Danio rerio: one gene and its partner. The protein of the gene in region 1 interacts with the protein of each later gene in a biochemical or structural test. Links are inferred from orthologs where the notes say so. Each region holds a gene or a part of one and is shown on either strand. Other genes may lie near its edges. The genes, in order: mapkapk5 and hspb1.

The links.
Region 2: of the proteins of mapkapk5 (region 1) and hspb1, one has a biochemical effect on the other in vitro, tested with the Homo sapiens proteins (4 studies listed by BioGRID and IntAct). The link is inferred for Danio rerio from reciprocal best matches to the Homo sapiens genes MAPKAPK5 and HSPB1.

The regions. Positions count from the first base shown.
Region 1 is NC_133180.1:75,578,311-75,582,137, reverse strand, and holds part of mapkapk5 (MAP kinase-activated protein kinase 5), read left to right. Parts: intron 1-472; coding exon 473-603; intron 604-682; coding exon 683-798; intron 799-2,167; coding exon 2,168-2,272; intron 2,273-3,827. UniProt on the Homo sapiens protein: Tumor suppressor serine/threonine-protein kinase involved in mTORC1 signaling and post-transcriptional regulation. Phosphorylates FOXO3, ERK3/MAPK6, ERK4/MAPK4, HSP27/HSPB1, p53/TP53 and RHEB.
Region 2 is NC_133180.1:4,128,503-4,132,474, forward strand, and holds the end of hspb1 (heat shock protein beta-1), read right to left. Parts: intron 1,727-3,972; coding exon 1,663-1,726; intron 1,098-1,662; coding exon 947-1,097; 3' UTR 668-946; downstream 1-667. UniProt on the Homo sapiens protein: Small heat shock protein which functions as a molecular chaperone probably maintaining denatured proteins in a folding-competent state. Plays a role in stress resistance and actin organization.

The DNA of each region.
Region 1 (3,827 bases):
TCATTATACAAAACATTTCCTAATTACCCTAACCTGCCTAGTTAACCTAATTAACCTAGTTGAGCCTTTAAATGTCACTTTAAGCTGTTTAGAAGTGTCTTGAAAAATATCTAGTCTAATATTATTTAATGTCATCATGACAGATAAAATAAATCAGTTATTAGAAATGAGTTATTAAAACTATAATGATTATATTAGAAATGTGTTGAAAAAATCTGCTCTCCGTTAAACAGAAATTGGGGGAAGAAACCGGGGGGCTAATAATTCTGACTTCATTTGCATATAATAAATATACACACATATATAATGTCAAAACAAGCTTTTATTTTGGATGTGGTTAATCGCAATCATTCTTGTACAGCACTAAACCATATATGGATATTGGCAATTCTAGAATTGAGGATAGGTTTGTGCATATCCAAAATAAACCTACTTCTAAAACACTACTTGTATGTGTATTTCCTTCATTCAGGCAGTTGTAGCAGGAATTCAACAGGCTCATGCAGAGCAGCTGGCCAACATGAGGATACAAGACCTCAATCTGAGTCTGAAACCCCTCAACTCCGTCAACAACCCCATTCTGAGAAAGAGAAAGCTGCTGGGGTAAACGTTCAGTTCATTCACATTATCTCCTGCCTTACTAACAGTGCTGTTTTTAACAGACTGTGCTTAAACCCTGCAGCACCAAACCCAATGACGAGCTGTTCATCAATGATCCAGAGAATGAGGTGGAGGACACCAATGTGGCTCTGGAAAAACTAAGGGATGTGATCGCACAGTGCATATTACCACAGGCTGGTATGTATAAACCCACTCATTGTGTAAACCAGGGGTGCCCAAACTTTTCCGTATGAAGGCCTAAATCCAAATATCATTGAGAGCTGTGGGCTGAAGGTGAATATATTAAACTACATTACACTAAAGTTGCCATGGGTAATTTCCTAATTTATTTCATAATATTTCAATATAAATGTAAAACATCACTTTAAATCATGTTAACTTATGCAGTATAACATTTAAAATGATAACTTATTGCAATAAGAAAAACTGCAACAGTTATAACACAGTGCAGTCCAACACTGAATACACTGGTCAAGCAGAATCTGCCTTTGACTTAATTTGCTGACTAAAGATAATCTGATTGATTTACACCATATAATCAAAGAAAACAAACAAACAAAGGCTACATTAGATTTGAATTGACAGTCTCGAAACCATCCCCATCATCTCTGTTTCTTCTCAGATGGGATGGTGGGCTAAATCAAAGGTTACCGTGGGCCAACTTTGGCCCGCAGGTCTTAGTTTGGGCATTACTGGTGTAAAAACACTCTTTTAGTGTTAATTTTGTTGTATATAGGCTAGTTTTTAACAGCAGATGGTGCTCTAGGCTAGTGTTTAACAGCAGATGGTGCTCTAGGCTAGTTTTTACCAGCAGATGGTGCTCTAGGCTAGTTTTTACCAGCAGATGGCGCTCTAGGATAGTTTTTAACAGCGCATGGCGCTTTAGGCAAGTTTTTAGCAGCAGGCAGCACTCTAGGCTAGTTTTTAACAGCAGATGGCGCTATAGGCTAGTTTTTAACAGCAGATTATGCTCTAGGCTAGTTTCCGACAGCAGACGGCGCTCTAGGCTAGTTTTTAATAGCAAATGGTGCTCCAGGCTAGTTTTTAGCAGCAGATGGCGCTATTGGCTAGTTTTTAGCAGCAGATAACGCTATTGGCTAGTTTTTAGCAGCAGATGGCGCTATTGGCTAGTTTTTACCAGCATATGGCGCTCTAGGCTAGTTTTTAGCAGCAGTTGGCGCTATTGGCTAGTTTGAAGCAGCAGATGGTGCTCTAGGCTAGTTTTTAACAGTAGATGGTGCTCTAGGCCAGTTCTTAACAGCAGACGGCGCTCTAGGCCAGTTCTTAACAGCAGATGTCGCTCTAGGCCAGTTCTTAACAGCAGATGTCGCTCTAGGCCAGTTCTTAACAGCAGATGTCGCTCTAGGCCAGTTCTTAACAGCAGATGGCGCTCCACGCTATTTTTAACTAAACAACAACTCATCCAGAAAAAGTTCTCAGTGTTGATTTGTAGCTTTCATTGAAAATGTCTGCAGGGATAAACTATAATGCTGTCCAAAAACCATGAAGCACATCATAGTTTGTCTCTTTTTTTATATGACCACAGGTGACAGTGATGACGAAAAGCTAAATGAAGTAATGCATGAAGCTTGGCGCTTGAATCGTGATTGCAAACTTCTCAGAGATGGATTGCATGGGTTATGTTGGGATGGTAAGTGTTTTGTGTCTGAGGTTTATTTTCTAGAAGCTATACTGTGCACTAGAATAGCATCCAGTACTTGCAAATTCATCTGTGTGACTGAACTGATTATTAAAATTTGGCAGTTTTAAACGAACACTCAATTGTTTTTGGAAGTAGGCTCAATTTACAGCTCTCCTATAGTTAAAAAAAAATTTTTTTTACCATTTTTTGAACCCACTAAGCCAATCTCCATGTCAGGTGGGAGCCCTTTTAGCTTAGCTTAGCATAGATTATTGAATCAGATTAGACCATTAGCTATGTGTTTATTTACAGCAAACAGAACTCTAGGCTAGGTTTTTACAGCAGGTGGTGCTCTAGGCTAGTTTTTAACAGCAGATGATGCTTTAGGCTACTTTAGGCTATTTTTTTTGGCAGGTGGAACTCTAAGCTAGTTTTGGTTGGTGTTTTACAGCAAATGGCATACTAGGCTAGTTTTTTATTACAGCAGATGGTACTCTAAGTTAGTTTAGGCTAGTTTTTTTACAGCAGACAGCACTACAGTCAAGTTTTTAACAGCTGATGGCACAATAGGTTAGTTTAGGCTAGTTTTTTAAAAGCAGACGAAGCTCTGGGCTAGTTTGGGCTAGCTTTTTGGCAGATCGAGTTCTAGGCTAGTTTAGGCTAGTATTTTACAGCAAATGGCACTCTAGGCTAGTTTTTTTTACAGCAGATGGCGCTCTAGGCTAGTTTTTAACTGCAGACGAAGCTCTAGGCTAGTTTTGGCTAGTTTTTTTTGGCAGATGGAGCCCTAGGCTAGTTTAGGCTAGTATTTTACAGCAAATGGCACTCAAGGCTAGTTTTTTAACAGCAGATGGTGCTCTAGGCTAGTTTAGGCTAGTGTTTTTACAGCAAACAGTGTTATAGGCTAGTTTTTATCAGCAGATATTGCTGTAGGCTAGTTTTTAACTGCAGACAAAGCTTTGGGCTAGTTTTGGCTAGTTTGTTTCGGCAGATGGAGCGCTAAGCTAGTTTAGGCTAGTTTTTTTTTACAGCAGACGGCACTACAGGCTAGTTTTTTAACAGCAGATGGCAGTCTAGACTAGTTTTTAACTGCAGACAAAGCTTTAGGCTAGTTTTGGTTAGTTTGTTTCGGCAGATGGAGCGCTAAGCTAGTTTAGGCTAGTTTTTTTTACAGCAGACGGCACTACAGGCTAGTTTTTTAACAGCAGATGGCAGTCTAGACTAGTTTTTAACTGCAGACAAAGCTTTAGGCTAGTTTTGGTTAGTTTGTTTCGGCAGATGGAGCGCTAAGCTAGTTTAGGCTAGTTTTTTACACAGCAGACGGCACTACAGGCTAGTTTTTTACAGCAGATGGTGCTCTAGGCTAGTTTAGGCTAGTTTTTTTTTTACAGCAGACGGCACTACAGGCTAGTTTTTTACAGCAGATGGTGCTCTAGGCTAGTTTAGGCTAGTGTTTTTACAGCAAACAGTGTTATAGGCTAGTTTTTATCAGCAGACGTTGCTTTAGGCTAGTTTAGTTAAATTGTTTTTGTAGAAATCATTGAATCTGATTCCTTCATTAGCA
Region 2 (3,972 bases), about 71 Mb from region 1:
TAATCTACCTAGTTAACCTAGTTAAGCCTTTAAATACCACTTTAAGTTGTATAGAAGTGTCTTGAAGAATATCTAGTCAAATATTATTTACTGTCATCATGACAAAGAAAATAAATCAGCTATTAGAAAAGAATTATTAAAACTATTATAATTAGAAATGTGTTGGAAAAAAAATCTGCTCTCCGTTAAACAGAAATTGGGGAAAAAATAAAGAGGGGAACGAATAATTCTGACTTCAACTGCATATGTGGGAAAAAAAATTTGTCTTTAAGGCAGTTGTGTCAAACTCAATTCCTGGAGGGCCGAAGCCTTGCACAGTTTAGTTCCAACCCTGCTCCAACACGCTTACCTGTAGGTTTCAAACAAGCCTGAAGGACTCAATTAGTTTGATCAGGTGTGTTTAATTAGGGTTGCAACTAAACTGTGCAGAGATGCGGCCCTTTTGGAACGGAGTTTGACACCTGTGCTTTAAGGTGTCTCATTGTGTTTTTTTGTTAGTAAATTGAAGAAACGGGCAAAAGTTATAGAAAAACGTAATTTCCGTAAATCATAACTTTTGAAATCATTTTTTTATTAAAAATACCATAAAAAGTAAAATCATTGCTTTTTATCATTACAAGTTACTTTTTAAAAAATATTTTTAAGGAAAGAAATGGAAAAGTAGGTGTCATGTTTGCCTATTCTTTAATGATCAAGAATGATTTTAAGACACTGTTGAGTACCTAAATGTGATTTTTTTTTATTTAGAAATAAAAGAGAGGAGGATAAGAAACAAGATAATGATAAAAGAGTGACATAAAAGTGAGATGAGAATACAACATGGCAATCCAGCCTCTCATACAGTTAACAAACACCCAGAAGACATTAACATCAAGAGTTAACATCTTGAAGAAATCAAGAGTAATGTGTGTGTATGTGTGTGTCAGTGCGCGCGTGCGCTCAGGGTTTATTTTGTGGTGCTGACGGTGGTTTTGTTGACAGGGATGTTAACTTCTGGGGCCTGGATGGCAGGTTTGGGAAGCGGAGCTTCAACAGTCAGGACTCCTTCAGGAGAAAGACAGGAGCTGATCTTCTCAGAGTCCACACCAGGGGGCAGACTGGAGCAAAACACAAAAACAACACAATTATATAAAGACGACAGAGTTTCCAGTATTAAAGAAAAGATCATGTTCACATATTAAAACATTCATGTATGCACATTACAACCCTTTCAGCTCACTTTTGTCATACTTGGAATAATAAAAATATAGATTGGAGAAATATAATGTGATATAATAAAATGTGCTGCAATATAATAAATATTTATATATATATATATATATATATATATATATATATATATATATATATATATATATATATATATATATATATATATATATATATATATATATATATATATATATATATATAATTATAAATAAAATAATTATAACATATATAAATGATAAAAATAGCTCAAAAGAAAAAATAGCAGAGAAAAAAATAGCAGAGAAAAGCTATGCATCACAAAGATTTAAAGATATAAAATGTTATGCAATGTGATGCATAAATCAATGTCAAGAGCCCTCATCTCCTATTTTCTCAGGAATCTCCCAGACTCTTGATCCTCCCTATCTAGTGTGCTTGAAGTGTGCATGTCTGGAGAATGTCTGTACTTACGTGTATTTCCTGGTGAAGCATCTGGAAATGAAGCCGTGTTCATCCTTTCTCTCCTCATGTTTGCCTGCAGACGAAGAGGAGACAAGTTAAAAGTGAGATATTATGCAAACATCACTTTAATAAGGAGTTTAAACTCAGTTGTGTGGCAGAGGTGTGTGAATATAATGGTACAAATGAATTAATTCTATATTTTTATAATCAGGCTTGATCAAAACAGTCTGCAGGAACACTTCGATCGACATTCTGCCTTTGTACTTGTCATCAGAGTGGGAAAGCCCCGCCCACTAGTGACCCTCTCTCCCTCATTAGCATAAACAGCAGCCCTGAGTGAGAAGCAGCCGTCTGTCCATTAGCCATTAGAGTGTTTGAGCTGCTGAAGATGATGTCAGCAGAGACTAAGAGGATTATAGATGTGGAGTTTATAGATGTGGAGTCTCCATAGACTGACTCATTCTCATACACTGGCATTCACATCACATTCAATTGTCTACTGAAGAAGCCTCTGGTATACAATAACTTGCCTAATTACCCCAACATGTCTAATTGACCTAGTTAAGCTTCTAAATGTCACTTTAAGCTGAATACCATCTTAAAAAATATCTAGTAAAAGCAGAATAAGGAATTTCATTAAAGTTTAAAACCATTTGAGTGTGAGTAAATGATAAGGGGATCCTCACTTGTGGGTGAGCTGTCCCTTTAAGAACTCTTGCTCTTGATATCCTGTAAACTCTGGCTGACCCAGCAGGTAACCAACACTAGCTCTGTTTGTTTAGACAACCCTTCTGACAGACGGCCACAGTGATGGACTTGATATGAGGATCATTAAAAGTCCAGCACATCTGATTCATAAGATAAAGTTAACCTCACTATTTGATGCTTTTACAATGAGAGGAAATGAAGGGTGGGACTCGTAATTAACGTGTTAATTTCTTTACTTTATATATGACTTTTTCATGTGGACAGCTTGGAATAGTGTTTTACAGCAAATACTGCGGTGATTTATAAACATATTGTAGTAAAATACTCTATAAGACTTAATATAATTCAAATGATTTTAGAAATACTTCAGAAAGTAAATCAAATAGAAAATAAATAAATCAAACGAAATCAATCAAATAAAATAAAATCGAATTGAATCAAAACAAATAAATAAAATGCAATCAATCTAAATCAAATCAAATAGACCAAACAAAATTAAATTAAACAGAATCAAATCAAAACAAACAGAATTCATTTCAATCAAATTAATTCAAATCAAACTGAATCAAATCAAACAAAATTGAATCAAATCAAATAGAATAGAATCAAATAAATTTAAATAAAATGCAATCAGACCGAACCAAACAAATCCAAACTGTAATGAATAGAACCAAACCAAATTAAACCAAAAAAACTAAAAATAAAATAAAGTACAATAAATTAAATGCAATCAAACTAAATCAAATCAAACCGAACCAAACCAAACAAAATCAAATCAAATACAATCAAATCAAAACAGAAATCAGAATTATTTTAATCAAATTAATTAAAATCAAACTGAATCAAATCAAACAAAATCGAATTAAATCAAATTAAATCAAATCTAATAAATTTAAATAAAATGCTATCAAACCAAACTGAATGGAACTGATCTGAATCGAACCAAACCAAATAAAAATAAAATAAAATTTTAAAAATGCAATCAAAATGAATCAAACCAAACAGAATCAAATCAAATCAATATCAAACAGAATTCCTTTCAATCAAATTAATTTAAATCTAATCAAATTGATTCAAATCAAATAAAACAAAATAAAATCGAATCAAATCAAAGTAAATCAAATCAAATAGAATAAAATAAATTTAAATAAAATGCAATCAAACCGAACCAAACCAAACCGAACTGAACAGAATCAAACTGATCTGAATCGAACCAAACCAAAATAAAATAAATAAAATGCGATCAAGCTGAATTAAATCAAACTAAATCAAAACGAACAGAATATTATATATTTAAAGTTTAAATATGGTAATTCATAGTAAATACTGTGTTTTGAATCAAACTCTATAGTCAAAGTCCCTTTATACTACAATACACCACAGTTTACTGTAGTAATAACTAAGGTATTTAATACAGTTTATTAGTGACTGATGGGGAGGGGGAGGAGTCTCTGTCAGATTTATTCATGTAAAGTCTGAAGAGCGCAATATGTTGCCATATTAACATATTTAATAATTGAAAATATAGCCAGAAAGGTTGTCCACTGCAGGCTAAGTGGAGAATTGCATTAAAAAAGATATGCTTCATTCCTTAAATGTATTAGATATTAA